Macaca fascicularis: one gene and its partners. The protein of the gene in region 1 purifies or fractionates together with the protein of each later gene. This does not show direct contact. Links are inferred from orthologs where the notes say so. Each region holds a gene or a part of one and is shown in the gene's direction. Other genes may lie near its edges. The genes, in order: LLGL2, RAD18, PARD6B, PARD6G and DCAF1.

What was found.
Region 2: the proteins of LLGL2 (region 1) and RAD18 purify together in Homo sapiens (affinity purification with mass spectrometry; 3 studies listed by BioGRID and IntAct, counting the BioPlex papers as one, with this or other methods). This does not show direct contact. The link is inferred for Macaca fascicularis from reciprocal best matches to the Homo sapiens genes LLGL2 and RAD18.
Region 3: the proteins of LLGL2 (region 1) and PARD6B purify together in Homo sapiens (affinity purification with mass spectrometry; 7 studies listed by BioGRID and IntAct, counting the BioPlex papers as one, with this or other methods). This does not show direct contact. The link is inferred for Macaca fascicularis from reciprocal best matches to the Homo sapiens genes LLGL2 and PARD6B.
Region 4: the proteins of LLGL2 (region 1) and PARD6G purify together in Homo sapiens (affinity purification with mass spectrometry; 4 studies listed by BioGRID and IntAct, counting the BioPlex papers as one, with this or other methods). This does not show direct contact. The link is inferred for Macaca fascicularis from reciprocal best matches to the Homo sapiens genes LLGL2 and PARD6G.
Region 5: the proteins of LLGL2 (region 1) and DCAF1 purify together in Homo sapiens (co-immunoprecipitation; 3 studies listed by BioGRID and IntAct, counting the BioPlex papers as one, with this or other methods). This does not show direct contact. The link is inferred for Macaca fascicularis from reciprocal best matches to the Homo sapiens genes LLGL2 and DCAF1.

What each region holds. Positions count from the first base shown.
Region 1 is NC_088390.1:81,958,215-81,963,806, forward strand, and holds part of LLGL2 (LLGL scribble cell polarity complex component 2), read left to right. Parts: intron 1-338; coding exon 339-420; intron 421-699; coding exon 700-815; intron 816-1,241; coding exon 1,242-1,400; intron 1,401-5,270; coding exon 5,271-5,433; intron 5,434-5,587; coding exon 5,588-5,592. UniProt on the Homo sapiens protein: Part of a complex with GPSM2/LGN, PRKCI/aPKC and PARD6B/Par-6, which may ensure the correct organization and orientation of bipolar spindles for normal cell division.
Region 2 is NC_088376.1:147,159,703-147,165,294, reverse strand, and holds part of RAD18 (E3 ubiquitin-protein ligase RAD18), read left to right. Parts: intron 1-260; coding exon 261-401; intron 402-3,727; coding exon 3,728-3,911; intron 3,912-5,592. UniProt on the Homo sapiens protein: E3 ubiquitin-protein ligase involved in postreplication repair of UV-damaged DNA. Postreplication repair functions in gap-filling of a daughter strand on replication of damaged DNA.
Region 3 is NC_088384.1:106,833,356-106,839,710, forward strand, and holds the start of PARD6B (partitioning defective 6 homolog beta), read left to right. Parts: upstream 1-2,832; 5' UTR 2,833-3,039; coding exon 3,040-3,105; intron 3,106-6,355. UniProt on the Homo sapiens protein: Adapter protein involved in asymmetrical cell division and cell polarization processes. Probably involved in formation of epithelial tight junctions.
Region 4 is NC_088392.1:851,095-856,686, forward strand, and holds part of PARD6G (partitioning defective 6 homolog gamma), read left to right. Parts: intron 1-3,706; coding exon 3,707-4,542; 3' UTR 4,543-4,578; exon of another isoform or gene 4,579-5,592. UniProt on the Homo sapiens protein: Adapter protein involved in asymmetrical cell division and cell polarization processes. May play a role in the formation of epithelial tight junctions. The PARD6-PARD3 complex links GTP-bound Rho small GTPases to atypical protein kinase C proteins.
Region 5 is NC_088376.1:114,508,880-114,514,939, reverse strand, and holds the start of DCAF1 (DDB1- and CUL4-associated factor 1), read left to right. Parts: upstream 1-1,781; 5' UTR 1,782-1,908; intron 1,909-4,326; 5' UTR 4,327-4,373; intron 4,374-6,060. UniProt on the Homo sapiens protein: Acts both as a substrate recognition component of E3 ubiquitin-protein ligase complexes and as an atypical serine/threonine-protein kinase, playing key roles in various processes such as cell cycle, telomerase regulation and histone modification.

The sequences.
Region 1 (5,592 bases):
GACAGCCAACACGTCTGTTGTAGCTCAGAATCAGGGTGGCAGCCTGACGGTTGCCAGGGTAGGGCTTCACCTTTCTATGGAGTTGCTCCCACCGGCCTGACTGGGAAAAATCTCCCAGGGGTCGGGTCACTGGCCTGGTGCCCCAGGGCCAGGGCTGTTGTATCTCCTCCCCATCCCAGGCTCCATGCATGAGTCCTGCTGCCTGCGGGGAGGGCAGCCCCTCTCTGTGTTTGCACTCATTGCATGTGGGCCCCAAGGGCCTGGCACTCAAGGTGGGCAGGGGATGGTGTCAGGGGATGGTGTCTGGCCTTCCAGAGCTTTCCTGAGCCTGCTCGTAGCTATGGAGCCCCGGGCGTGGAGTTCATGGGGCTGCACCGGGAGAACAACGCAGTGACGCAGATCCACCTCCTGCCCGGCCAGGTGAGGGACCTGGGGTGGGACAGGAAGCCACCTCCACACCCTCCTTGCCCTCACTGCTTCCAGCAGGGCTGGTGTGGAGAGGCTGGCATTCAGTGGCCCTGGGTTTGCTGCTGCTGGAAAGGCCTGGGACCCCCTCCCTTTCCACAGGTGGGGCTCGTGGGCCACGCTGGGAGTGGCCAGGGGGTCTTTGAAACAACCAGCCCAGGCTGGGCGGCCCCAGTGTGTAAAGGCCTTGCTGGGTAGCAAGACCACATGCTCCCATCCCTGTGCCCTCGCCAGTGCCAGCTGGTCACCCTGCTGGATGACAACAGCCTGCACCTTTGGAGCCTGAAGGTCAAGGGCGGAGCATCGGAGCTGCAGGAGGATGAGAGCTTCACACTGCGTGGCCCCCCAGGGTAAGGGCTCAGTCCCCAGCCCCTTCCACTCCCAGCCCAGCCTGACCCTTGCCCTTAGCTCTGGAGTGGACTCACCCTTCGTGGGGCCTGTTGCGCCCCTGGCAGTGCCTGGCATGCGTTTGACCCGATGCATCCCCATACTCAGGTGCTCCGAGTGGAGTGGGTGGGGCCGCAGCCCACCTCCTCCATCCGCCCACACCCCGTGTTATGCTGGAGGGCCCCTGGCGTCTTTCCTACCTCCTAGCCCAGCCTCTCTGCCATCTGTCTCCTGTCTTGGCAGAAAGTGACCAGTGTTTGTCCTGGGCTGAAAGGTCATGAACCCCATGAATTTTTATGGGCTTGTTTTCCCAGGAGTCAGGAGACCCTGTCCATGGGGTCTCCCCTGCTGGGCAGCGGTCAGCTCACAGGCAGCTGTTCTTGTCACAGGGCTGCCCCCAGTGCCACACAGATCACCGTGGTCCTGCCCCATTCCTTGTGCGAACTGCTGTACCTGGGCACCGAGAGCGGCAACGTGTTTGTGGTGCAGCTGCCAGCTTTTCGCGCGCTGGAGGACCGGACCATCAGCTCGGACGCGGTGCTGCAGCGGTGAGCCCAGAGCCCGGCTGCTGTTAACCCCATCCCCTCAAGTTAGGCATGGCTTCTCCCCTTGGTCCCAGGACTCTCTCAGGAGCTGTCATTTCTATGCTGGGAATTCCATGGGGCTAGCAGGGGAGGCTCTTGGCTTCCTACCTGTCCCCTACTGAGAACCTATTGGCCTATCATAGGTTAGCATCATAGCACTAAAAAGGGGACTTTGGGGGATCTAAAGGCCCCAAATGACTGTGTAATGTCACCGACTCTCAGTCCAGTGTCATTTGCACTTGCCATGGGTTTCAAAACCCCAGGGGCTCCATAGCGGGGAAGTCGGGCCCAGACCTCCCTGCATTACTAGAGCAGCTCCTGGTGCCACCCTGTGCTGTGGGCACTTTGCTGAGGTTCCATTTGCTCGCAGGCTCCGTGGCTAAAAAGCGTTGACCGCCACAGGCATGTGGGTCTGTTGAGATCATTTCAGAAGCTTTGCTCCGCTTGTCGATGGAACTATGATAGAGAGGGAGTCAGATCAGGTCCGGTTGTGGAGAATGGGATGGGACCCAAAAAAAGAGGGGATAGCGTCTGACAGGATCGTGTGGGGGCCAGGTCGCTTGTGGTGGAATGATCTGTGGTTCCAAGGGACAGGAGGAGGCCAGGGTGCTGGCCCCTGGCCCTGCAAGGCTTTGGACTGGGCCCAGGACACACTCCTGCAGCTGGCCAGCCCATCTCTCCAGCCCTGGGTGGTAATGAAGCAGGGACCATCTACCCAGGGCAGGGCATTGCTGGGCTGGGAGGATCCCACTTGGGGCTATATCCCTCTGAGTGCAGACCTCTGCCTTTCCGGTTCAGCAGGGTAGGGCTCTGTGCCCAAGGTCAGAGCAGAACACTTTGCAGGATGACAAGTACCACAATGGGACACAGCCTGTGGGCAGGATGGCATGGGATGTGCACCCCAGCAGGTGGCCACACCAGTGCCTAGCCTCACCCTGTAGTTAGCTGGTGAGAGTCTAGTTGGCAGGGGGGCCCATGTGCCCTGAGAGCTCCTCCTGCCAGTTTATTTTATTTTGTATTATGTTTTATTTTATTTTTGAGATGGAGTTTCACTCTTGTTGCCCAGGCTGGAGTGCAGTGGCACGATCTTAGCACACTGCAGCCTCTGCTTCCTGGATTCAAGCGATTCTCCTGCCTCAGCCTCCCAAGTAGCTGGGATTACAGGCATGCGCCACCACACCCGGCTAATTTTGTATTTTTAGTAGAGACGGGGTTTCACCATGTTGGTCAGACTAGTCTCAAACTCCCAACCTCAGGTGATCTGCCTGCCTCAGCCTCCCAAAGTGCTGGGATTACAGGCATGAGCCACAGCGCCTGGCCCAGTTCGTTTATTTATTAAAAAAAAAAAAAACATTTTTTTTGGCAGTCTTACTCTGTCCCAGGCTGGAGTACAGTGGCACGATCACAGCTCATCACAACCTCTGTTTCCCAGATTCAAATGATTCTCCTGCCTCAGCCTCCCGAGTAGCTGGGATTACAGGCACACGCCATCACGCCCGGCTTGTTTTTGTATTTTTAGTAGAGATGGGATTTCACCATGTTGGCCAGGCTGCTCTCGAACTCCTGACCTCAGGTGATCCACCCACTTCCACGTCCCAAAGTATTGGGGTTACAGGTGTGAGCCACCGCGCCTGGCCCCTTTTGGCAGTTTACATTCTCATCCACTTGATTACACTTATCTAAGTTTTTTTTTTTTTTTTTTTTTTGAGACAGTCTCGCTCTGTCGCCCAGGCTGGAGTGCAGCGGCCAGATCTCAGCTCACTGCAAGCTCCGCCTCCCGGGTTTACACCATTCTCCTGCCTCAGCCTCCCGAGTAGCTGGGACTACAGGCGCCCGCCACCTCGCCCGGCTAGTTTTTTGTATTTTTTAGTAGAGACGGGGTTTCACCGTGTTAGCCAGGATGGCCTCGATCTCCTGACCTCGTGATCCGCCCGTCTCGGCCTCCCAAAGTGCTGGGATTACAGGCGTGAGCCACCGCGCCCGGCCATCTAAGTTTTTAAAACGTCCAGCCCTTTAGTCTTGCAGCTCTGTCTCTGAGAAGTCTCTGTGAAAAGATACAGGATAACAATGATCATTGTAGGGCTGTTTTTAATGGCAAAAAGTTGGAAGCCCTCTAATTGTCTAACAATTTTCATCTGTATAAGGGCATTATTTGCATTTATTAAGAATATCTAGATGGGCACAGTTGCTCACACTTGTAATCTCGGCCCTTTTGGAGACTGAGATGGGAGGGTTGCTTGAGGCCAGGAGTTTGAGACCAGCCTGGGCAACATAGCAAGACCCTGTCTCTCCCCACAAAAAAATAAAAATTAATTGGGCAAGGTGGCACACACCTGTGGTCTTAGCTACTTGGGAGGTGAGAGGATCACTTGAGCCCAGGAGTTGGAGGCTGCAGTGAGCCATGATCAGGTCGCTACCCTCCAGCCTGAGTGACAGAATGAGATCCTGTCTCTAAAAATTTTTAAAATTAGGCCGGGTGCAGTGGCTCACGCCTGTAATCCCAGCACTTTGGGAGGCGGAGATGGGTGGATCGCCTGAGGTCGGGAGTTCGAGACCAGCCTGGCCAACATCGCGAAATCCCGTCTCTACTAAAAATACAAAAAATTAGCCTGGCATGGTCGTGGGTGCCTGTAATCTCAGATACTTGGGAGGCTGAACCAGGAGAATCACTTGAACCCGGGAGGTGGAGGTTGCAGTGAGCTGAGGTCACACCACTGCACTCCAGCCTGGGCAACAGAGCGAGACTCCATCTCAAAAAAAAAAAATTAAATATTAAAGTCCCCTTCAACTCTCACTCTCGATTCAGATTCTAATGTCAGTGAGGTCAGTGCTAGCAGTAGATGTGCCAGGTATAGATAATGTGGAGAGCTTGGGTTTAGTGTGGCTTGGGTCCAGGCTGGGTCCGCTTCCCACAGCCTCACTGTTGGCTGTTGGTCCTGTGCCTGCTGCCTTGTGGTTTTTTTGTTGGCTGCAACACCTCCAGCCCTCAGGTCAGCATTCCAGGCCTGGAGACGGGGGAGGGGTCAAGGCTCCAGGGCCAGGCCAACTCATAGAGTTTTGTTTTATGGGGCTAAAAAACTTCTTTATTATTAAACACTCCCTTTTGCAAAAATGCACTGAATATGAATGTACAGTTTAACAGATTTTTGTAGAGCATCCTTACAGCCATCCCCCCAGACGTAGAAATAGAACTTTGATGCCCTCCGGGGGCCTCACGCACCCTTCCTAGTCAAGGCTCCCTCTTGCCCCCACGTTGACTTTTCCAGAAGTCACTGCCTTGCCTTGCCTTATAGTTGTACCGCCTGTATTTACATCACTGGAGGTTGTCTCCATGTCCCTGTCTTGTTCTACATGCTGCCCCCTATCCCCTTGGTGACATGTCCTAGCCATCTTTCCTTTTTTTTTTGAAATGGAGTCTCACTCTGTCACCCAGGCTGGAGTGCAGTGGCGTGATCTCGGCTCACTGTGATCTCTGCCTCCTGGGTTCAAGCAATTCTCCTGCCTCCACCTCCGCGTAGCTGGGATTACAGGCATGTGCCACCACGCCCGGCTAATTTTTTGTATTTTTAGTAGAGACAGGGTTTTGCCATGTTGGCCAGGCTGGTCTCGAACTCCTGACCTCAAGTGATCCGCCCACCTTGGGCTCCCAAAGTGCTGGGATTACAGGCATAAGCCACCACACTCAGCCATCCACTGCGCCCAGCCCCTAGCCATATTTCCATGCTGGCACATGGAGCAGCCACCTCTGCATAGGGAGCCCTGTGGCTGTGCCATTCCGGGGGCCATTCTCCCTGGCGGATGGCATCGGAGGCTCACGGCACTCCCCTCGTCTAGGTTGCCAGAGGAGGCCCGCCACCGGCGGGTGTTCGAGATGGTGGAGGCGCTGCAGGAGCACCCTCGAGACCCCAACCAGATCCTGATCGGCTACAGCCGAGGTCTTGTTGTCATCTGGGACCTGCAGGGCAGCCGTGTGCTCTACCACTTCCTCAGCAGCCAGGTAGGCAGTGCCCAGGACATGGCGGGCGCCATGTTGCTCTCCCAGAGCCCCATGTGGCACATCCACGCTCTGTGCAGAGGCATGGGGTGCAGATGATGGGAATGCTGCCTCGGTCCAGCGTGCTGCCCTCTGTCTCTCTCCTCCTCTTCCATAGCAACT
Region 2 (5,592 bases), on another chromosome or scaffold:
GTGCTGGGATTACAGGCGTGTGATACCACGCTCGGCTAATTTTTTTGTATTTTTAGTAGAGATGGGGTTTCACCTTGTTGGCCACGCTGGTCTTGAACTCCTGACAAGTGATCCATTCACTTCGGGCTCCCAAAGTGCTAGGATTACAGGCGTGAGCCACCACGCCCATCCCTTGTACACCTCTTGGTATTCATTTTGTCAGTTGTAGATGGTTAACTTTCATTGTCCTAGCTTTACTGTGAAGATCTTTTGAATTTCAGGTAAGAAACATAAATGTGAATTTCAGCTTCTGGTGGATCAGGCTAGAAAAGGATACAAGAAAATTGTTGGAATGTCACAAAAAACAGTAACAATAACAAAAGAAGATGAATCTACAGAAAAGCTATCTTCTGTATGCATGGGTAAGAAACTATAATTAAAAACAGACATATGTTGAATTTCATTATTTACTTTTAATATGAAAAGAAAATTAAACCAAGGAAATTTACTTTGGAGTTCCTACTTCTTTGAAATGAGGAAAAGTATTTTTAGACAAACTTCATGTAGCAGTTTGTAAACTAGATTTATTACTGTGCGGAAAATGGTTGGAAGAATGTCCTGAAGAAACAATCTCTTTTTGTCTATCATCCTTTCAGTTAATGACAAATCATAAATTTCTTAGTTATTTAAGCTTGAGGATGTTTTCTAGGTGTAGAATTTATTGGTGGAGATCCTGAGAGATCCTGTAAGAGAGTGAATTATTTTTGTGATAGAACACTGGTGTTTACTTTGGATGAAATGTTCTGCCAAACGGTCTAAAGCTAATATACTGGTAGGCTAATACAGAGCACATTCCTTAACTTTGATCCATTTTAAAATTTGAAATTAATATTTTAATTCTATTGCCTGGGCTTTGGACCAGTGAACAAAAAAGAATCATAATGGGGGAAAGTGTGCAAGAAAATTCCTTATCATGTTTTTCTATACTGTGGCAAAATATATATAATACAATATTTATCTTTTTAACCCTTCATAAATGTATGTCATTGGCATTAAATACATTCACAATATTGTATAACTATCACCAATGTCTATATCCAAAACAATTTCATCATTCCCAGCACAAGCTCTGCACTCATGAAATAGCAACTCTTCCGTCCCCTCTGCCTCATAGCCCTGGTAATAACGGTTCCACCTTTTGTGTCTATGAGTTTGCCCATTCCAGGTACCTCATATAAATGGAATTGTATAATATTTTCTTTGTGTGTTGACTTCTTTCTCTAAGCATAATGCTTTCAGAGTCCATCAGTGTTGTAGCATATTTTAAAATTTCTTATTATGATTAAACAGTATTCTGTAGTATGTATATGCCATATTTTGTTTATCCATTTATCTGTTATGGTTATTTCCACCTTTTGGTAATTATAAATAATGCTGCTATGAGCATTGATGCTCAAATATCTAAGTTTCAGCTTAGAGTGGGATTTCTGATTCATATACTGGTTCTATGTCTAACCTTTTGAGGAATTGTTAAACTTTTCCGTAGTGGCTGCATTATCTTACATTCCCACCAGCAAAGCATAAGGGTTCCAGTTTCTTCACATCCTTATCAACGCTTGTTATTTTCTGATTTTTAAATTTTTTTAAAATTGTAGATGTGAAATGATATGTAATTGTGGTTTTGATTTGCATTTCCCTAGTGACTAATAAACAATTTGTGCATAAGGTGCTGCCTCAGTATGTAACTCATGGTCTTTGAACAAATCGAACTTGTTCATGCAATTGTGAAAGGATATTTCTAGAAACTAGTTTAGCACTTGAGAAAATCTGACTGAATATTTCCCATTAAGAAAACTTTTTTTTATTAGTTGAACCTCTCTTGAATATCATTGATGGCTTGTATGTATTTATGAACATCAGTATTACTCTTTCTGGGGTTCAAAGGTGATTGCTGCTTTTAGATTGCTGTGCATGAATGAGATGTCTGAGAGGGTAAGGAATGTGAGAGAGGTGAAGACAGACACAGACTGACTAAAAAGATGAATTTTGTATAGCATCATACAACCAATATAATTGTTGCTCTTTAGGACAAACATTGAAGTGCTCATGTAAGTGAACAAGTTGCATATTCTCTCAAGTGAAAACTTAGCCTGTTTTTGTTGTGTGTCTCTGGGGAGCTCTGATGTCTGAGCCTCACTCCTGAGGCTCTATTTTGAAGTCCTGCATTCTGAGATCTAAGGGCAGGTAGGAAGGATAACTTATTTTTTATGCCTACAGATTATTGAATGCTGTTTGTCCCCAAGAAGGAATATATTGTCTAGAAGTGTATGTAAGAGTGGAAGAAGTAAGAAAAGAATACAGACAATGTGCAAAAATAAAAGATTGTTTTCAGTTGAATTCCTGTTCCCTGGTTTGCTTTTTTGCATGCGCCTCACTAGTTGAGTAATATAGTCCCTGGGTGAACCGAGTTGACTGGGGGATTGGCTCCTCTTAATGTGATCCTGGTATCTGTTTACAAGAGGAGTTCTTAGAGGTTCAGGATGGTCATCCTGGCTAACTTCTTTTTCTCTTTTCCAGATATACTTTAGAGGGTGCTGTTTTGTTTTGCTAATGATAGTTTATTGATAGCCAGATGACATTAGGAGCATATTTTTAGGAATTATACTCTTGTGAAGTATGCTGTTCTCCCGCTATAACAAAAACTTAGAACTATTTCTGAAAAAAATTTGACTGTGTGAACTTGGCAAGGTTTTTTGAAGAATGTGTTATGTTCTTTCCCCATAAATTCTCTCTGTATAACCAAACCTTGACAATTGTATTTTTATTGTGCTTCGTTGAAGACCACTTGCCTCTACAAGTGCTTGAGGAGTGATGTGTGAAAGCTCTGTTTCTCTGTGAGGAAACACATGAAAGGAGCTCTGTACTATTATTAGCACGTGTAGCTTGCATGCGAAAGTACCTCCTCAGTTCCTGAAAGTTAAGGACAGCACAGATGAAAATCCCAGCAGAGTTTATGATGAGTAGGAGAATCCTGGGCACTAAAGAATCTTTCGCAGATATTCTTCTCGCTCATATTTGTAGAAAATTGGCCATTCCCATATGCCACATTTTTGTAAACACTGCATCCTTCCAGCTTTTTGGGGTCTTTATTTTTATCTGCAATAAGAGACCTTAAAAGCTGAGAATATGACAAAGAATGCATGGAAATGTGATGTATATTGGATCAAATGGAAATATTCCTTATGTCTGATTAGTTGTCCTTTTCCATAGAGAATAATTAGATTCTATTTAACAGGTTTAGAAAAATGTCCAGATAGATTCACTATCATATAGTAGTGACAAATATTGTGGTTGTCTTATTAGTTGAATCTGTAGTCTTTTTTTTTTTTTTGGTTATACATCTTACGTTGGTTTGTCAGTGTTCTCTGATCTATGAAATATGCAAGAATTCCTCAGTGATATGTTAATAGATGCCTCATTAGAATTACAAGATTCTTCCTGCTCCTGGTTTTAAAATAAATTTTATTTTTAAACTAATTAATCTTGGAAAAACATGGGCTGGATAGTATAATTAGGTAGCACCATTGTAGTGTTAATTCTTGCTCTCTGGCTGTCACTAGAGTTCTGGAATCAATGTGACATATTCTTCAACTTTACTAAGTGCATATGGTAGTATTAAGTGTTGCAGAAGTAATAGGCGTACAGAAGTTGTAGATTTTAACGTACTCTTAAATTTATTTTTTCCTAGGACAGGAAGATAATATGACCTCAGTAATAAACCACTTTTCTCAATCAAAGCTGGTAACAAACCACTTTTCTCAATCAAAGCTGGACTCCGCAGAGGAATTGGAACCTGACCGAGAAGAGGATTCTTCTAGCTGTACTGATATTCAAGAAGCTCTTTCTTCACCAGAATCAGATTCATGCAATAGGTAAGAAACATGCAGGAGTTGATTATTTTAAATATCTACCTCATATGCACACATAGATAGTTAGGCAGAAATAATTAGAAAGTAGCTTTGAGGCATGGTATGGTGTGTCACTCTTACATTTCAGTCCCCTTTTACTGCTGGGTCATCTTCACAGTGGTAACAAGGCAGGATTTGGGAAGGAAGTACAGGGATCAGAGGGTGAGTTTGGTATAGGCTTTATATAGCCTTTTTATAGATATAAAAAGGCTCTATAGCCTTTTTATAGATATTTTTCCTACCGTTGGAAAAGAAAGCATGATAGGCAGTGAAATTTTTGTCAAGACAATGAGTGAAGGAGATAAAAACAACTGTATTGGAAAACAGAGATGATCAGAAAGACATGGCACATAGGAGAGTTAAGAAATGAAAAATTTAACTGAGTAAATAGATGGGGAAACTTTAAAAATGAGAAGTTTGGTAATGAGTCATTTTGAAAAGATATTTTAAAAATATATAGGGTTTATTTTACACACACACATGCATGCACACATACCATTTTTTCTGGTCTTTCACTTAATATGTCATAAATGTTAACATTTCTATAGGTTGGCACAAAAGTAATTGAAACCACAGTTAATTTTGCACCAACATAATACCTTATGTTTATAATTGTTGTTTTTAAATGAGTACAGTATTTTGTTATGTCTCTGTACCATAATTTACCAGACCCTTCAGTTTCTGTTAGAGCTCTGCATTTTTTCCAGTGTTCTACTTACGTGCCTGATGCTATGGTAAAGCTCTTCCTTTGTTCCTATTGAATACTTTTTTTTTTTTTTTTTTTTCATTTTTTCGAGATGGAGTTTTGCTCTGTTGCCCAGCCTGGAGTGCAGTGGCGCAATCTCAGCTCACTGCAATCTCTACCTCCCAGGTTCAAGCATTTTTCCTGCCTCAGCTTCCCAAGTGGCTGGGATTACAGGCCTGTGCCACCTCACCTGGCTAATTTTTTTGGTATATTTAGTAGAGATGGGGTTTCACCGTGTTGGCCAGGCTGGTCTCGAACTCCTGACCTCAAGTGATCCACCCACCTCAGCCTCCCAAAGTGCTGGGATTATAGGCGTGAGCCACCATGCCTGGCCACTTTTCTTACATTTATTATTCTGATAGGTAGGCATTGCCTTCCGAATGAATTGTACTGATTTAAAAAATGCTACCAGCAGTATGTCAATATGAGTGTGTCTTGGAAGTTATTTGATCTTTGGTGTTAGTTTATTTAAAAATTAGTAACATTGCTGTAGAATGATAGACTATTTCTAATCTAACTAATGGAATTATTAGTACATTTTTTATTAGTATACCCAGTGACCCTCTGTTTTTGTAGGATACCTGGGAAACAGTTTCAAATTAGTCAGAATGAAGTATTAGGAAGGAGAAATCTTCCCATCTCATTCCAAAGATTTTCAAGATCAAAAAATTATATTTCTAGTTGACTGAGGGTAAAACATAGGGTTGCGTGATTTGTTATCGTAGATCAGGCCATTCCTGCAAGTCCAGTGCAGTATTTGTTTTTAAACACACATGTAGGAATACAGAAAAAAAAAAATCAGAGTCAGGGGAATAAGAGTTAGATTTTAACCATAGTCATTAGATGCTTGAATGTTTTGGAATGCCAGAATGATTTGGGACATTTGAGAATGGCAAAAAC
Region 3 (6,355 bases), on another chromosome or scaffold:
AGAAAGGAAAGTCCAAGTAAAGAGGGATGCCACACCCGGGGAAGGGAGAGAGGATGTGACAACACCTCCAGGAATGCAGGGCCCACGCAGGTGCACTGGCACCCACGAACTTCCTTTTCAAGAGGGCCTGATAAATCAGTACTGATAACAGGAGTAAAACTCAACCACCCAACACTCACTCACACAGAACTGGGGTACTGCTCCCAGGGTGTGGCCCTGCCAATGAGGGAGAGGAGGAGGAGACCTAAGAACAGAGCTCTCTAAAGGTGGTGACATGGTTTCCAGTCCAGCCATGATCAGAGTGTGGTCTCTGGGAGTCCCTGAGACCCTTTTACGGGGGTCATTGAAAGGCCAAAACTGCTTTCACAAAACTAAGACATCATTTGTTCTCCACATTCTCATTGTCTCATGAGTATACGATAGAGATTTCCAGAAGGGACGAGACATGTGATGACATCATCACTCTGATGACAGTTGGAATGCATGCTTGTGTATTCCCATGTTTTAGATACATCCGTTTTAATTTTTTTTTTTTTTTTTTTGAGACGGAGTCTCGCTCTGTCACCCAGGCTAGAGTGCAGTGGCCGGATCTCAGCTCACTGCAAGCTCCGCCTCCCAGGTTCACGCCATTCTCCTGGCTCAGCCTCCCGCGTAGCTGGGACTACAGGCGCCTGCCACCTCGCCCGGCTAGTTTTTTGTATTTTTTAGTAGAGACGGGGTTTCACCGCGTTAGCCAGGATGGTCTCGATCTCCTGACCTCGTGATCCGCCCGTCTCGGCCTCCCAAAGTGCTGGGATTACAGGCTTGAGCCACCGCGCCCGGCCTCATCCGTTTTAATTCTAAGATAAATACTGAAAGACATAACACATGAACAACGTACTTTGGGGTCCTCCATGATTTTTAATAGTGTAAAGGGGTCTTGAAAACAAAAAAGTTGGGAACTGCTGTGCTAGTCCAAACAGGGGAGTTACAGGCCCTGCAGTTTCCCTGACACGCACTTTATTTCCGGCTGAGCTTTAGTCACCTCCTATGTGCTTTCGAAGCTGCCTAGAGAGGCAGCTTGCTTATTTATTATTCAGCTTGGATTGGTGTCCTTTCCACCTGTGCTGCCACAGGTGGCCAGAAAAACCTTAAATTCCCCCATAAACGTCTGGTGACCTAAATCCTCCAGGGGGGGGGGGAAAAATGAGCTTCTCACCTTTGAACCCAGGTGACGCAAAGAGCCTGCAGAACGGACACCCTCAGCTGCAGCACCCAGCAAAGACACATCTGAGGACCCGCTGGGAGCCAGGTTCTGTGCTACTCAATGCCAGCAAAGCACAAGCGGTCCCTGCCTTTGGGAGCTTTCATTCTAGGCTGGAGGCGGATTACTCACAAAACTCAGATGCACACAAAAATGGGAAACCTGGAACTTGTCACAAGTGCTGGGAAACAGGGGTACAAGTGTTGGGAGGCATCCGGGGTGGGAAGGGAGATGAGGGGAGGAAGGTATCCTAACCACTCTTCTTGCCACATCTCAGGTTGGACCTGCCCCTCCACCTCCATTTCCACAGCCCCCTTCCTGGCTTGCAGGTTTCAACAGCTCTTGGATTCCCAGGTCCCACAGGGAGCCCTTGGGACCTAGGAATCTCCTCCAGCCAAAATCTTCAGTCTTCTCCTCGCCTCTCCATGACCAACAGGGTCTGTGTGAAGAGAGGCCGGGCTTTGGGACGTTCAGAGAGGAGGATTCAGCGTTTTGTTGCTCTGGGACACAGCTTGGTCACTCCGGGAAACGAACACAACCTAGAGGCTGTCATTTGTAGAAACAGCGAATGGCCAAGGAATGGCGGGAGAAGGGAAGAGGAAGACTTAATAGGTTTAAAGAAAAAAATAAATAAATAAAACCCGGAAAGACCGGAGTAGAGGCTGGGCCTGCAAGGAGCCTTCCCGCGCCTCAGCCCACTTTCCTTCCCTTTCGACCTGACGGACTTAGGGTGTGCAGGGTGTCTCTTCGGATAAAATCAAGCCAAGAGAGCCCTAAGCTTCTCCCCCAGCAACTGCTGCAGAGGCGGGAAAACTTGAATTTTGTAACCAAGAGTTGCAGCGGGACGCCTAAGCGACGATAAGGGGCAGTGGAGGGGCGTCGTTGGGGGCTGCAGCATCCCAAATTGGAAGCGGTGAGGGTGACCGGCGGGAACCGAACAGCCCCGCGGGGCCTCTGCAATCGGTCGCGCGGCGCATCCCATCCCCGGGCAGTGCGTGTGACTGGCGCGCGCCAAACGGCGAGAGCCCCCGGCGGCGCGGGCAACGAGGCGCGCACCCGCGCGTGCGCAAAAGGCCCACCCAGCCGAGCCCTTCTTCAGGTGCGCTCGCGCTTCCGGCCGGCCTCCCCGCGTGCCTTCCCGGGGCGGAAACTCCAGAACCCGCGCATGCGCCTTCTGTCTCTCCGGCTTGATGCGGGGCGGAGGTCCATAGCTTCAGGTGATCCCGCCCCTCCCTCGTAGCGCAGGACCAATGGTGCGGTGGTAGGCGGGGTTTTTGAGGAGGCAGCCCGCCCACGCACCGCGCGAGGCGTGTATCGATTGGTTGGCGCCGCGGGCGCAGGTGCGCGCTTCCTATTGGGTGTGGGCGGAGCGCGAGCGATTGCGGCAGCTTCGGCAGCTGCAGGTGAGCGCGCGCGCGCGCCGCGGCTGTGGCTGGCTCGGGTGCGCGCGCGCGGGCTCGCGGGGGAGGTGGCCGAGGGAGAGGTTGCGGCGCCTGTGGCCTCCGCTCCGCCCCCTCCTCCTCCAGCGCTGTCGCCGTCGCCGCCGGGGCCCGGAGGGAGGGAGCTGCCTCCCCGCCTGCCGCGCCGCCAGTCCGACCCTCGGTCCCGCTGTGTGAGTAGCTGGCGGAGTGGAGCTCAGTGCAGACGCAGGAGCTGCGGCCGCCCCCTCTGCAGGTGCCTGTGAGGAGGCGCCCGGGCCGCAGCCGGTTTCCGAGACCTCCGGTCGCGCACTTGCTCCCCGCGCTCCTGAGGGACCGCCCGACCGGAGGAGGCCGTCGCGGAGTTCGGCGCTCAGCATGAACCGCAGCCACCGGCACGGGGCGGGCAGCGGCTGCCTGGGCACCATGGAGGTGAAGAGCAAGGTGCGCGGGGCCCGGGCTGGGCGGAGCGGCGGGCCTGGAGGGCCGGGGCCTGGGAGAGGCTGGGCCAGGCTCTAAGCGCTGTGGGAGGCGACGGGCAGAGCTGCCCCGGGGTCTGGACGGTGCGGGCGGGAGACTGTGGGTAATAAACTTGCCAAGGAGGGGGCGGCGGGGATCGGGGGGCGCTAGTGTCCGCCCCTGGCCCCGGCAGGGAGAAGACCTAGTCCAGCATTTAATCTCATTCCGTAAATCTCATTCCCGTGTTCACGGACGGGAGTAGGGGCCAAGGTATACCCGAGGATGGCACACACTGAGTGGAATGCGAGGCGGCTCAAAAGGTGTAGGAGAATCCTGCCTGCTGGGCTGTGAGTGTGGGCCCTGGACCACCCCGTTGTTCCCACTTTCTGTGGTTCAGGGGCGCATCGAGCGGCGAAGGAGAGAGCCCAGTGAACTAAACAACCCTTTAAAAGTTCGCTTTGCTTCCTGCTGGCGCTCTTTGTAGCACTAACTTTGGTATGCATTTAATCTGTAAAATTAGCACTATCACCTTACGTTGGAGTAGCACTTTACAGTTTGAGTCTAGATGCTCTTTTCATTCCATCCTGCTACCTACTCACATCAAGTACTTTTCCCCTTGACCAACGGTATGCCAGTCTGCTGATTACTGCGGTATTCACTGAATTTCTAAGTCTCAAGGCTCGGTGAGCAGGGTAGTCTGTAGAGAGGGATTAGTTAGGGAATGCCTTCCAAAGGGGGTTTTGAGGTGGAATTTGAAGGTGATGGGCAGCCACGGGAACATTTTCAGCAAGCGTTTCTTGAGTTAAAGAGTTAAAAGGAGCTTAGATAATCTAGTCCAATTCTCTGAGAAGACTGAGGCTCAGAAAGGTTATGACTTCCCCAAGCTGCTTTTTGCAAAGCCTTCATGCCTTTTTAACAATAACTTTTAGGCACTGCAGAATACAAAACAGGACACTGGCTGGGCCCTGAGAACATTTAAAATAGAATTGAGAAGGCCAAAACACAGAAAAGGAGAAAATTGAAAGTACATCAGTTAAAAAAATGTAATGGAGCATCGTAGATGGTAAGACTACCAAGGAGTATGTAAAATGAAGGAGTGATTTGAGTGAGGTCCAGTGGAGTGAGGAAAGCTTCCTAGAGCGTCTGGGTAGAATGGTTTTGTTGTCTAGGGTTGATAAGCCAAGTTCTGTTAAGTTTCTGTAACTGAGAATCACATCGAGAAAATCTACATTCGTTTGTAACATCATTAAAAAAATGCGATTTGAGGCAGGACGCCGGTGGCTCACGCCTGTAACCTCAGCACTTTGGGAGGCCAAGGCGTGTGGATCACCTGAGGTCAGGAGTTCCAGACCAGCCTGGCTAACATGGTGAAACCCCATCTCTACTAAAAATACAAAAAATTAGCCGGCCGTGGTGGCACATGCCTGTAATTCCAGCTACTTGAGAGGCTGAGGCAGGAGAATCGCTTGAACCCAGGAGGTGGAGGTTGCAGTGAGCCAAGTTCGCACCATTGCACTCCAGGCTGGGCAACAAGCGCAAAACTCCATCTCAAAAAAAAAAAAGATTTGGCACTTAACTCATATGAGGATTGGCACTAGTTTCAGAATTAGTAAGAATAGAAGTGTAGTTATAGCAATTTAAGGAATGTGCACGTCCATGTGTCCTCTGTGCACAGCATAGCAAATTGAAGTGACTTGCTTGAGCTATAGCGTTAAGATGACCCAAAATATATAGCAGAGCTTTTCCACTAGCGGTGTATAGTGGCAGTAGTGGTTCCATGCCCAGTGGTTGAACCTTCTTACGGCATTTCTGTTATAAGTCTGGTTTGGATTTGTGGGTGTTGAGGTTATGGAAAGAAAAACACTTGTGATATTGCATCGTCTTAAAATTTTAAGTTTATAGCACTAATCTTGGTAGCAAGTCTTTAATTTTTTTCCATAGAAAAAAATGAGTAGGAATTCTAAGTATACTGATCAGTACAATCAAACAGTAATTTATCTCTAGTACTAAGAAAACCTTGAGTGCTTTAAAACTGGAATTTCAGGCTTTTTGCCTTTCTCTTGTCAACTGACTTGTGAATCTTTCACTTACTTCTAAACTACATGTTGTATATTTGAACTGCCATACTGCGCTTTTAGTGAACTGTGTCTTTTAAATAGAATCATACACTGATTCTAGGAACATGTGCTGAATGAAGTCGGTCCCACTATTCTAGCTGTTGACAAATAGGCAAGGTATAGGTAGGGAGTGTTTCTAATGTGTCTGTGACACCTTATATGTTTCAAATATATATTGCTGATACATATTTTAAAAATATTTGGACAGATTTTTGAAACAGTATTTTCTTTGACATTGCTTTAGTGATATCACAGCTTTTTACGAAACTGATTGCTAAGAGTTTATAACCAAAACTAGGTAGTGTGCAGGTCCTTTTTGTTTTGTTTTGTTTTTGAGACAAGATCTTGCTCTGTCACCGGGGCTGGAGTACAATGACACGATCTCGGCTCACTGCAGCCTCAACCTCCTGAGCTCAAGCGATTCTCCCATTTCAGCCTCCTGAGTAGCAAGACTATAGGCGTGCGCCACTACACCCAGCTTATTTTTATTTATTTATTTTGTAGAGACGGGGTCTCTCCATGTTGCCCAGGCTGATCTTGAACATGTGAGCTCAAGTGATCCGCCTGCGTCCACCTCTCAAAGTACTGGGACTACAGGTGTGAGCTACTGCACCTAGCTGGTCCATTTTTGTTTTACTATTTTTAATTTTTTTATCTTTTTAGAGACAGGGTTTTGCCATGTTGGTCATGCTGGTCTCTAACTCCTGTTCTCAAGTGATATGCCCACCTAGGCCTCCCACAGTGTTGGGATTACAGGTGTTAGCCACCCCACTGGGTTCCGGTCCATTTTTAGGATCTCTTTTTCTTCATGTAAAGCAGTAGTGTTGGCCAGGCACGGTGGCTCACACCTGTAATCCTAGCACTTTGGGAGGAAAAGGCAGGTAGATCACCTGAGGTCTTGAGTTCAAGACCAGCCTGGCCAACACGGTGAAACCCTGTATCTACTAAAAATGTAAAAATTAGCTGGGTGTGGTGGCTCATGCCTGTAATCCCAGCTACTCTGAAGGCTGAGGCAGGAGAATCGCTTGAACCTGGGAGGTGGAGGTTGCAGTGAGCCGAGATTGAGCCACTGCACTCCAGCCTGGGTAACAGAGGGAGGGAGACTCTATCTCAAAAAA
Region 4 (5,592 bases), on another chromosome or scaffold:
CCTCAAGGTTTGGAGGGTTTGGAGTGCAGGGAAGGGATTTGCAGTAGTTGGGACTTGGCCGGGAGGAGGGGCTGTTAGGATGGCCCCTGAGTGTTTTGAGGGAGGAGAGGCCCCCTCAGGACTGTGGGGTCCATGGAGAAAAGACCAAAGGCGAGGTCCTCACTCCTGCTTAGTCTCTCTAGCACCAGAGCCAGGGGCTGTTGGGCACCCATTCTAGCCTTGAGGAGGTGAGGCTCCAGGCTCCGTGAGTGGGATGCGGCAGGTGGGGCAGTTATTGTCCACACGTGTTCCATCCTTTCAGGCTGCCTCTTTCTGATCTTCGTCCAGACAGAGCAGACGTTTGTTGGGGCTTTTTGGTCTATGACTGTTGGTGCATCCAGGTTGCTGATGCCTTCAGCTCCAAGTCTGAGATGACGAGGCTAAAAGAAAACCCAAGGAGCTGCTGCCATGTTGCTTCTCGGGTCCTGAGGCCCCAGCTAGTGTGACTTCTCTCCTGCATCATCTTATGTTTTGTATGTAACATCCAGGGTTTTTGTTGAACTTAGCAGGAGGGATGGGAAGGACTACATGACTCCCGGGAAGCAGAGGTCCACACACTTGCTTTTATTGGTGCAGGGAACCCTGGTCTACCTGTGATTTATAAGCCCCTTACGAGAAGGGGGCTGGCCCGTTGTGCCCTTCTCTGTATCCCACAGTTCTGGGCTTAAGCCTTAATCCGGTCCACCGTGCACTGCGGCCAGAGCACCTGCTGCCCTGTGGGGATGGCTGAGATGCTGTCGCCTGGCCCTTGTGACGCAGACAGGTTTGTGGTTTTGGTGGAAGGGAATGCACTATGCGGAACAGGGGTGGGGCTCCCGGGATGGGTGGCTGTGAACTGGGACTTGAAGACAAGTGGCTCCCGGAGGGAGGTGAAATTGAATCTGAAACTCTGAGTCAGTGGTAGAGAGAAAGAGGATGCTTGGAACAGGAGGTGTCACCTCTCCCAGGCCAGGCCTCACTGTACTCTGCCCGTGTGTGGGACAGCCAGCCAGGCTGTTTCGCGCATGGACACGCACCATTTCTTACTCCCCGACCCTCAGCATCACAGTCAGGCCTCACCTGCCCTGCATAAAACCTCAGTCTCTTCTCCTGGGCCCTGCTGCTCACAGCCCCGAGCACAGGGCCTGTCCCCGGGGAGGAGCATGTGGATGGCCACATGCACGACAGTGTTCTTGCAGGCATGAGTTTGCCAGAAGGGCTGCCCTCTTGAAAGTGCATAGATTTGTCATCCAAGGAGACCCCTTGGGAAGAGCCCATATCATGGAAAACAGGCAGAGCACTGTGCCTCGGATGCTGCCACACCTCCATCTGTGGCCCCGTGGATCCACATTCCCTCCCACTTAGAATGAGCACACCATGAGGCAGATGCCTTTGTTCAGGTTTAGCTTTTAGTCCAGGGAGAGCCCACTCTGTCCCAGGCCCTTGGTTAATCCAAACCTGCGGCGGCAGCCAGACCAGACGAACGCTAAAGGCTCAGCCTCTCCTCATCACGGAAAGAGTCTGAGCCCCTCACCCTCCGGCGTCTTCTCTTCAACTCTGTTGTGGATCCACACCCCCCGGGCAGCGTCACTGCCACCTCCCCAGATGCCCCTGCACTGTTCCCATCGTATCCTGTGCACATCGTGTCTCACGGTGCTCTCCGTGTGGCTGTATGGAAAATTCAGTCTGTATCTCTTGCTCCCACTTGCTTCATGGCTACTTCAGAGCAGGGACTTTATCCACTCATCTGTATCCCTGAAGTCACCCAGTAAGCATTTGCAGAGTCTGTGAGGTGCAGAGAGGCCGGGTGCTGGCCAGAAACTGAGATCTTGTTTCTATAAAACAAGCACAGACAACCATATCCATGTGTACGTGTGAGTGTGCAGGAAAGGTGGTCACAGCTGGAAAGGAGTATTACAATTGTAATTTTAATTTATTTTTCTATTTTTGTGGGTACATATTAGGTATATATATTTATGGGTTACATGAGATTTTGATACAGGCATACAATGCCTAACAATCACATCAGGGTAAACAGGGTTTACAGGTGTAGTTTTTAAAAGTCATCTTATTTCTAAAGCCCTTTCAGACCTTACTGTGTCCGTGGGTAATAAATGATGCTGATAAGGGATGATGGATGGCTTCCGTCACTGAGCAGCTGTGTGGAGTGCTGGCCGGGATGCAGCTCCCAGGAAGACAGTTCTCATGCTGAGGCATCCCAGCTCCAGGGTGCACTAACCCTGCTGCCTGCAGCATGTTCCAGAGCCTGTGCTAGGGCCTTCTTGTTGTCTAGGCAGCCATGGGCTCTGCTGGGTTGAGAGAGGTGATGCCTGAGCATTGGCCTCCCCTCCAGGCTGCCTGAATGTTGCCTCCATGGTGAAAGTAATTTGCCTTCGAGTCCTTTCCAGAACTGTCACCCAGCATTCCCCATCTCCAAAGCAGGTCATAATGGGCCCTGCCTGCTCACTGAAAGGCAGAAGCCAGACTGACGCCTGGAGTCTGGAGGTCTCTGCTCTGAGGAGCGCCTGTTTATGGCATTGCTTCTGCCTGGGCTCCCAGCCCTCCTGGCTTTCACTGGCAAAGCAAAGATGTGAGCCTCCCCAGCCCAAAGAGCAGGCTGCTGTGGATGCCACCAACTCCACAGGACCAAGCCTCGCAGAGCAAGCCCTTCCCTCTGCTCCCCAAGACACCTGTTTTACAGACCCTTGTGTGTCAAAAACAAAAGAGGCTTCCTATAAAAATTAAATAAAACAAGATTTTTTTTTCTGACTCAAGGAAAATGCCTTATTCAGAGTTTCCAAATGCCACCAGTGTCTTCACTTAAAATTTTTACTTTACACTAAGTTCCTTACAACGTTTCTGCTTGATTAATTCAGTGGACTTTTATTTTGCAGTAGCCCGACTCTAGGGTAAAGTTTCCACACTGCCACAAATGTGTCATGCCACAGGCTGGCAGGTGTGGCCAGGCGGGTCCCACAGCGTCCCTGAGGAAGGGAGCCGTGCAGCCTTCAGGCTTCACCTACCTACAGATACCACTGACAGTGTGTGGGGCCCCACAGAAGGGAAGCAGCCGTCCTCTGCTCCCACTCCTTCGTCCACTTGTCTCCCCTCATCAGCTGCTAACCCAAAATGCAGGGAAATGCTCACACGCCCGACTGAGCGACACCTTCAGGGGCCTTGAATGCTGACTAGCAGACACCGTGGTGGGGCTTGCACATAGAAAGGAAAGCAGCAGCAGGAAAGGTCTCTCTTAGTTGTAATTAACCTTAGGAAAAAAGAGACGAGCCTCCATCTTACAGTTTAGAGAAGGAAATATGGGAGAATGGGCAAAGCTTAAGAAGTCCCCAGTCCAGCCTGCTGCCTCCCAGAAGGCTGAGGCACTCGCCAGTCCGCCGGGCCCCAAACCCTCCTCTGCCATTGATTCTCTCTGCTGCAGGTGCCTGCTAGCACCTTTTAGTCGGTAAGTCCTTTGGTTTGGTGCCTGTGGAGCAGCAAGGAGAGCGCTAGAGAGTTAATTTTAGGGGACGGCACTGGAGCTTGCCTGATTTCCGCCCAGCCTGCAGGTCTGGGACGCTCCTGTGCACCTGGGTGCTTCGGCGTCACGCAGATGGAACAGCAGTGCCAGGTGGCGGCCGAGGGCCCAGGCGGGGCTCGGTGTGTGTCCCTCTAACTGTCCCCTCTCCCGCAGAGGAGGCCGAGCGTGGCAGCCTCGGCGCGGGCTCGCTGTGCAGGCGGAGGCGGGCGCTGGGCGCGCTGCGTGACGAAGGACCCCGGCGGCGCGCACACCTGGACATCGGCCTCCCGCGCGACTTCCGCCCCGTGTCGTCCATCATCGATGTGGACCTGGTCCCCGAGACGCACCGGCGAGTGCGGCTGCACCGGCACGGCTGCGAGAAGCCGCTGGGCTTCTACATCCGCGACGGCGCCAGCGTGCGCGTGACCCCGCACGGGCTGGAGAAGGTGCCCGGCATCTTCATCTCGCGCATGGTCCCCGGGGGCCTGGCGGAGAGCACCGGGCTGCTGGCTGTGAACGACGAGGTCCTGGAAGTGAACGGCATTGAGGTGGCCGGGAAGACGCTGGACCAGGTCACGGACATGATGATCGCCAACAGCCACAACCTCATCGTCACCGTCAAGCCCGCCAACCAGCGCAACAACGTGGTGCGCGGCGGCCGCGCGCTGGGCAGCTCGGGACCCGCCTCGGACGGCACCGCGGGCCTCCTGGGTCCCCCCGCCCCGCGCGTCCTGCAGAACTTCCACCCCGACGAGGCGGAGAGCGACGAGGACAACGACGTGGTCATCGAGGGCACGCTGGAGCCCGCACGCCCCCCCCAGGCCCCGGGCGCCCCCGCGGGCAGCCTCTCCCGGGTCAACGGCGCGGGCCTGGCGCAGCGGCTGCAGCGGGACCTGGCCCTGGACGGCGGCCTCCAGCGGCTGCTCAGCTCCCTGCGGGCCGACCCACGTCACAGCCTGGCCCTGCCACCGGGCGGCGTGGAGGAGCACGGGCCCGCGGTCACGCTCTAGACTGAGAGGCCCCCCAGTCCTGGCTCCAGTTCCCGGGTAAGGACAGGGACAGGACCTGCAGACTGCATCCCCTCCTTTGTTGTTGTTTTTCTGACCACAAAAACAACTCAGCTCTTTGTTTCAACTTCTGGATATAGAAACACAAATACTGCCTATTTTTATCGAATTTCGCCACGAACTTAAAATGAATGCCTGAAGACAACTCTGTACCAGGCCTGAGTGCAGCTCTTCGCGCCTTTGCCAAGTGATGGAAAAGATCTGACCAAGTGTAAACAAATGCTTTAAAAAATTTTTACGCATACTTTGTTTTTAAAGTGAAGCTTTAAAATTACTTTTTAAAAATAGTCAAATTCATGTTTTTAACTTGGCCCATGCAAAATATGTCTCAGCATTCTTGCTGTGCTTTCTGCTGACTTGCAGGCGAGGCCGGCTGTGCTGATGTATGTGACAGGCTGGTTTTTCAAAACGAATGCAGCCGGGCGCGGTGGCTCACGCCTGTAATCCCAGCACTTTGGGAGGCCGAGGCGGGCGGATCACGAGGTCAGGAGATCGAGACCATCCTGGCCAACATGGTGAAACCCCGTCTCTACTAAAAATACAAAAAAATTAGCCGGGCGCGGTGGCGGCGCCTGTAGTCCCAGCTACTCGGGAGGCTGAGGCAGGAGAATGGCGGGAACCCGGGAGGCGGAGCTTGCAGTGAGCCGAGATCCGGCCACTGTACTCCAGCCTGGGCCACAGAGCAAGAGACTCCGTCTTGGGGGGGAGAAAAAAAACGAAGAAGAAATACACCCAAACCTGTCACAGGTACAACCACGGAGATGAAATCCAGATTTTCACACTGCTCATAGTCATAAATCGGCTGGGGCAGGAGAGCTCCCACCAGCACATTTCTGGCATCCGCAGCTGTGGAATTGTTCCGGGGCTGTTTTTTGTTTTGAGACCGAGTCTTGCTCTGTCATCCAGGCTGGAGTGATCGCAGCTCACTGCAACCTCTGCCTCCTGGGTTCAAGCGATTCTGCCCCAGCCTCCCAAGGAGCTGGGACTACAGGC
Region 5 (6,060 bases), on another chromosome or scaffold:
TGAAAGAAATGGTAGTGGCCATTACTGATAGAGGCAAAGTTCCAGAAGCACAGAGAAGAAAGCTGTGTGTTGTTGCAGGAGAAAGAAGTGAAGAGAGGTGACATGTCTGTGGCGCTCCCAGCACACAGTAGAGTACACATTTAAGAGAAGGAGGATGGTCTCTTTTCTGGAAAGAGGGAAATGGGATCTAGTGGGGAGTGAAACCAAGGGAACCAGGATTCAGGTTCCTTACTAGCTGTGGAACACTGAGCATAGCGGCAGGCTTGCTGTGTCTTGTGTTCATGTGACAGTATTGTCCGTGAAGACTCATGGAAATGCACGGAGACTTGCTCAGCATTCCCAGAGAGATAATGAGCTGCGTAAGGCCTTGAAGGTTGGGTAGGATCTTGTCAGGTCAAGATTCTCCTCAAATGTGGAGTCATGTTTATCTTCTATGCCCCGCAAAAGGGACCGCTGGTCGGAGTAAGGAGTCTTCTGGTTCTGCTAATTGGTTGTGTGATGCTGGGCAAGTCACTCACTCCCTCTGGGCCTCATTTTTCCCAATAACATGAAGAAATTGAATTAAGTGACCTGTGAGGTCAGTCCTGCCTCAATCTATGAGCTTTTGATTTTTCACTTCTCTGCCTCACGTATAATACCTGGCAATAAGTATCTATTGATTCCTACAGGCTAGGTCTTGAACAAAAAGAGAGGCTGGGCGCAGTGGCTCATACCTGTAATCCCAACACTTTGAGGGACTGAGGCAGGAGAATCACTTGAGCCTAGAAATTCAAGACCAACCTGGACAACACAGTGGGACTCCGTCTCTACAAAAATTTTAAAAAATTAGCTGGGTGTGGTGGTGCACACCCGTAGTCCCAGCTACTTGGGAGACTGAAGTGGGAAGACAGCTCGAGCCCAGGAGGTTGAGGCTGTAGTGAGCTGTGATTGCGCCATTGCACCCCAGCGTGGGTGACAGAGCGAGGCTCTGTCTCAAAAAAAAAAAAAAAAAAAGACGGAGAACAAAGAGGCTGGGAGGCCCCGGTGGGTGGACCGCTTCAGCCCAGGAGTTCGAGACCAGACTGGCCAATATGGTGAAACCATGTCTCTACCAAATACACACACACAAAACAAAAACAAAAATTAACTGGGTGTCGTGGCATGCACCTGTAGTCTCAGCTGGAGGCTGAGGTGGGAGGACTGTTTGAGCCCGGGAGGCGGAGGTCGCAGTGAGCTGAGATCGTCACTGCACTCCAGCCTGGGCAACAGAGCGAGGCTCTGTCTCAAAACAAACACATAAAAAACAACTAGTGCCTTCTGTTTTAATGAGTGCTGTGATTTCTGATATGTTTATGAGAAAATATTTTCTTAGATCACGGTATGTTCTAGGTAAGATGAGGCAAATAGCCGAATAAAACAGAGGCTCTTTGCGCACACAGGTCAGAACAAGACACTAAAGCATCAGGCGATTATAGTACTGTCTTGGAAGGATTGACTCCCTCACTTTTCACTTCCGCTTTCCGAAGCAGCCAATGAGTACTCAGCAGTTCGCATTTATCCAAAAAAACTACAAATCCAGAAGTCAATGCGCGGGGCGAAGAGCTCATGCGTCAATTGGGACTGGTGGGCCCGCCCCTAGACGCGGAACTTCATTTCCCAGGCGTCCCCGGGGCTCTTCGATTTTCCTCGGATCGTGCAGGCGTTCTCCTCCCGCCCCTTGCTCACTGTCCTCGCGCCAAGTAGGCGCGCGCGCCCGCGCGCGCGGTGCACGTAGCGCGCGAGTGACGCATAATATGTGGGCCGCTGTGGAGCCGTGGTCGCGCTGTGTGTGTATGTGAGTGAAGAGTGAGTGCGGGACCTGAGGCTGTGTGTGTGAACTGTGGCCACTGGCGGGGTCGCGGGGGGGCAGTGGCGGAGCCGCCTCGGACGGTGAGTGGGAAATGGAGGGAGGCGACTCTACGGGAGGGGCGCGAGGAGGCAGGGCGCGTGGCTGGCCGGGCGGCAGAGTGGGCGCCGGGCTGGGGGAGGGGCGGCACCTGCTTGGGCCGCCGGCGAGGAGGGGGCGGGCCGGTCAGCCGGGAGGCTGGGCCCGGGGCCTGACAGGACTTTTCCTCCTCCTGATTCTTGTCCCGGGGGCGGGGCCTCCACGTTCTTCCTCCACTCCCCACGAGAAGCTTCCCGAGAGTAACTCTTCCGCCCGGAGTGGGGGGGCGGGGTGTGTCAGCCCCTACCTGGAGGGAGGGGCGCATGTCATATCCCTTGTCATCTTTTCCCTTCCAATCTTCCTAGTCTCTGTTCCGTACGGGCTTGGGGGGGCTCCATCTTCCGTACTATACGGCGGGCCCCTTCACGGACTGTGTCTCCGCCTCCGGCTCCAGTCACCTGGGCGGGCTCTCCAGTCTCTCGGCCTCGTGCCACCTCTCCCTGCACCCGCCCGGCTCTTGGACCTTGCGACGGGGGCGGAGCTTTCTGGTCACTCCTCTCATCCCCATGAAGAAGGGAAGGGTTGGAAAGAGGTGTGCGGGTCCCGCAGCCTGGAGTCAAACCTCAGAGTGCCCGCCAAACTTCCCGGGAGTCTGTTTCCGGGGGTTATAGTAGTTTTCAACTGGGGTTTCAGAAGCGTTTGCTTCACAACTTCACTTCCTAGACGGTTTTCTGTCTGGCTTCCTCTTACTGCAGTGGCAGCGCTCTGGTTTTCCATTTGTTGAGGAAATAGTTTTGGAGTGTTTGTATTAGTTATTTTTGAGTCAGAAATGACTTGTCCTTGGCCACGTCATGTTGGTCTCGGTTTTTCCTTACCCTGTTTTTTCGATGAAGCCTTTTAATTAGTCTTTACACGTTTTAATTTTTTATGTTAGTAGCATCTTCCTGTTCAAAATGCATTGTTAATGTACAGAATGAGAGGTTAATTGGTAATATCCTTCATTTTCTTTTTCCAGCTTACTGGAGTTTACCTTTAATGTTTATGTGTGTATATGTAGACTTTAGGAATCGATTTAGTATTTTTCTTAATGATGTGAACATTTGGGTTTTCTATATAGCAGTTATTCATTACCCATTTTTGAGTAGGTATATATATTTGGATGTTGAGATAATAGAGAATTTGGGGAGTGTAGGGAAATCATTTTTTGCTCAGTACCTCTTGGGTAGTTGCTGAGTACAGTGTTTTACTGTTCTGCCTATTATACAGTTTTTAAATTTTTTATTTTTATTCATTTATTTTTTGTAGAGACAGTAGTCTTACTGTGTTGCCCAGGCTGGTCTGGAACTCAAGTGATCCTCCCTTGTCAACCTCCCAAAGTGTTGGAATTACAGGCACGAGCCACTACACCTAGACTGTTTTTTTTTTAGATACAGGATCTTGCTCTGTAGCCTAGGCTGGAGTGCAGTGGTGTGATCATAACCCTTTTTTTTTTTTTTTTTGAGACAGAGTCTCGCTCTGTCGCCCAGGCTGGAGTGCAGTGATGCGATCTCGGCTCACTGCAAGCTCCGCCTCCTAGGTTCACGCCATTCTCCTGCCTCAGTCTCCTGAGTAGCTGAGATTACAGACGCCTGACATCACGCCCGGCTAATTTTTTGTAGAGACAGGGTTTCAGTGTGTTAGCCAGGATGGTCTCGAGTGTGATCATAACTCATTGCAGCCTCTAACTCCTGGACTCAAAGGAGCCTGCTGCCTCAGCCTCCTGAGTAACTAGGACTGCAGGCACAGGCTACCATGATTGGGTAATTTTTAAATTTTTGTGTAGACTGTGTCTCGAAATGTTGCCCAACTGACCTCAAGTAATCCTCCCGACTTGGCCTTCCAAAGTGTTGGGATTACAGGCTTGAGCCACTGTGCCTGGCAAGTTTTTAATTTTTTTTTTTTTTTTTGAGACGGAGTCTTGCCCTGTTGCCCAGGCTGGAGTGCAGTGGCATGATCTCCGCTCACTGCAACCTCCGCTTCCCGGGTTCAAGTGATTCTCATGCCTCAGCCTCTGGAGTAGCTAGGGATTACAGGTGTGTGCTACCACGCCTGGCTAATTTTTTTATTTTTAGTAGAGATGCGGATTTGCCATTTTGGCCAGTCTGGTCTTGAACTTTGGCCTCAAGTAATCCACCCACTTCAGTCTCCCAAAGTGCTAGGATTACAGGCATGAGCCATTGTGCCCGGCAAACAATTGTTAATATTATGCCATATTTTTTCTGTTTTTGTGTGTGGTATCTATATATTTATTTTGTGGACTACGCTAGCAGACACTTGTTAGGATAAGGAAATTTTACATAAGTATTTCTTGAGGCTTTGTATTATCCCACCATGGGGACAATATTGTCATTTAACCCCGCACAACAACTGTTTCCATCTTACAGATAAGGAAATTGAGATTTGGAGAAGTTAAATAACCAAGACTTCACAGGTATGTCAGCAGAATTGGGATTTGAATCCTTGAAATACTTTTTCTACCTAGTACTAGCTGGTCTTGGGGACCTCTCGGAGCTTGTTTCCTCATGTGTAAAAAAGGGTAGGATGGTTGTGAAAATTCAGAATAATGTAAGTGTAGTAAATTACTTACTCAATGTCTGTTCCATACTAGATATTCACTAATTGGTAACTATGTGTCACCATTGGACAGACCATCATTTCTTCATAGCACTTAAATAACTCACTTAAGAACTTGAGTAATGCATCCTCACTGTCTTGGGCATAACAAGGTGAAGATGACTGTCTTTTTGCTCTTGTTGCCCAAACTGGAGTGTAGTGGTGCGATCTCGGCTCCCCACAACCTCTGCCTCCTGGGTTCAAGTGATTCTCCTGCCTCAGCCTCCCGAGTAGCTGGGATTACAGGCACGTGCCACCATGCCTGGCTAATTTTTTTTGTATTTTTGTAGAGACGCAGTTTCACTATGTTGGCCAGGCTGGTCTCGAATTCCTGACCTTGTGATCCACCGGCCTCGGCCTCCCAAAGTGCTGGGATTACCAGGCGTGAGCCATTGTGCCCGGCCTAATTTTGTGTTTTTAGTAGAGACGGGGTTTCTTCATGTTGGTCAGGCTGGTCTCAAACTCCCAACCTCAGGTGATCTGCCTGCCTTGGCCTCCCAAAGAGCTGGGATTACAGGCATGAGCCACTGTGCCCAGCCTTTTTTTTTTTTTTTTCTTGAGACAAGGTCTCGCACTTTTGCTCTGGCTGGAGTACGGTGGTGCAGTCATGACTCACTGTGGCCTACACCTCCTAGGCTCAAGCAGTTCTCTTGCTTTAGCCTCCCTGAGTAGCTGGAACTACAGGTTGCAGTGAGCAGAGATTGCGCCCCTGCACTCCAACCTGGGCAACAGAGCGAGATTCCGTCTCACAAAACAAAAAATCAAAACTAAAAAACAAACATTGAAGTAGGTACTACTATTACTAATTTTTAAATTTTTTTCATAGAGGCAGGATTTCATCATGTGTTGCCCAGGCTGGTCTCAAACTCCTGGGCTCAGGTGATCTGCCCACCTAGGTTTTCCAAAGTGCTGGGATTACAAGTGTGAGCCAGCACACCCAGTTGCTGACTGTTTTCATTGATACTAAATTAATTCACATTGCTATTATTAAGTCTATTATAAGTTTATATTTTCCTTTATGTATTTAAATAATAGAGACAAGGTCTCACTGTTACCCAGGTTGGTCTCAAACCCCTGGGCTCAAGTGATCCTCCCACCTCAGCCTCCCAAAGTGCTGGCATTACAAGTGTGAACCACCACGCCTTGCCTTTATATTTTTTTATTCTTTATTATTATTAATATTTTTTTGAGATGGAGTTTTGCTCTTGTCGCCCAGGCTGGAGTGCAGTGGTGCGATCTTGGCTCACTGCAACTTCTGCCTCCCGGGTTCAAGCGATTCGCCTGCCTCAGCCTCCCGAGTAGCTGGGATTACAGGCGCCTGCCACCACGTCTGGCTAATTTTTTGTATTTTTAGTAGAGACGGGGTTTCATCATGTTGGCCAGACTGGTCTCGAACTCTTGACCTCAGATGATCCACCCACATCGACCTCCCAAAGTGCAGGGATTACAGGCATGAGCCACCACGCCTGGCCTATTTTTTATTATTTTTTTAAATAATAGAGACA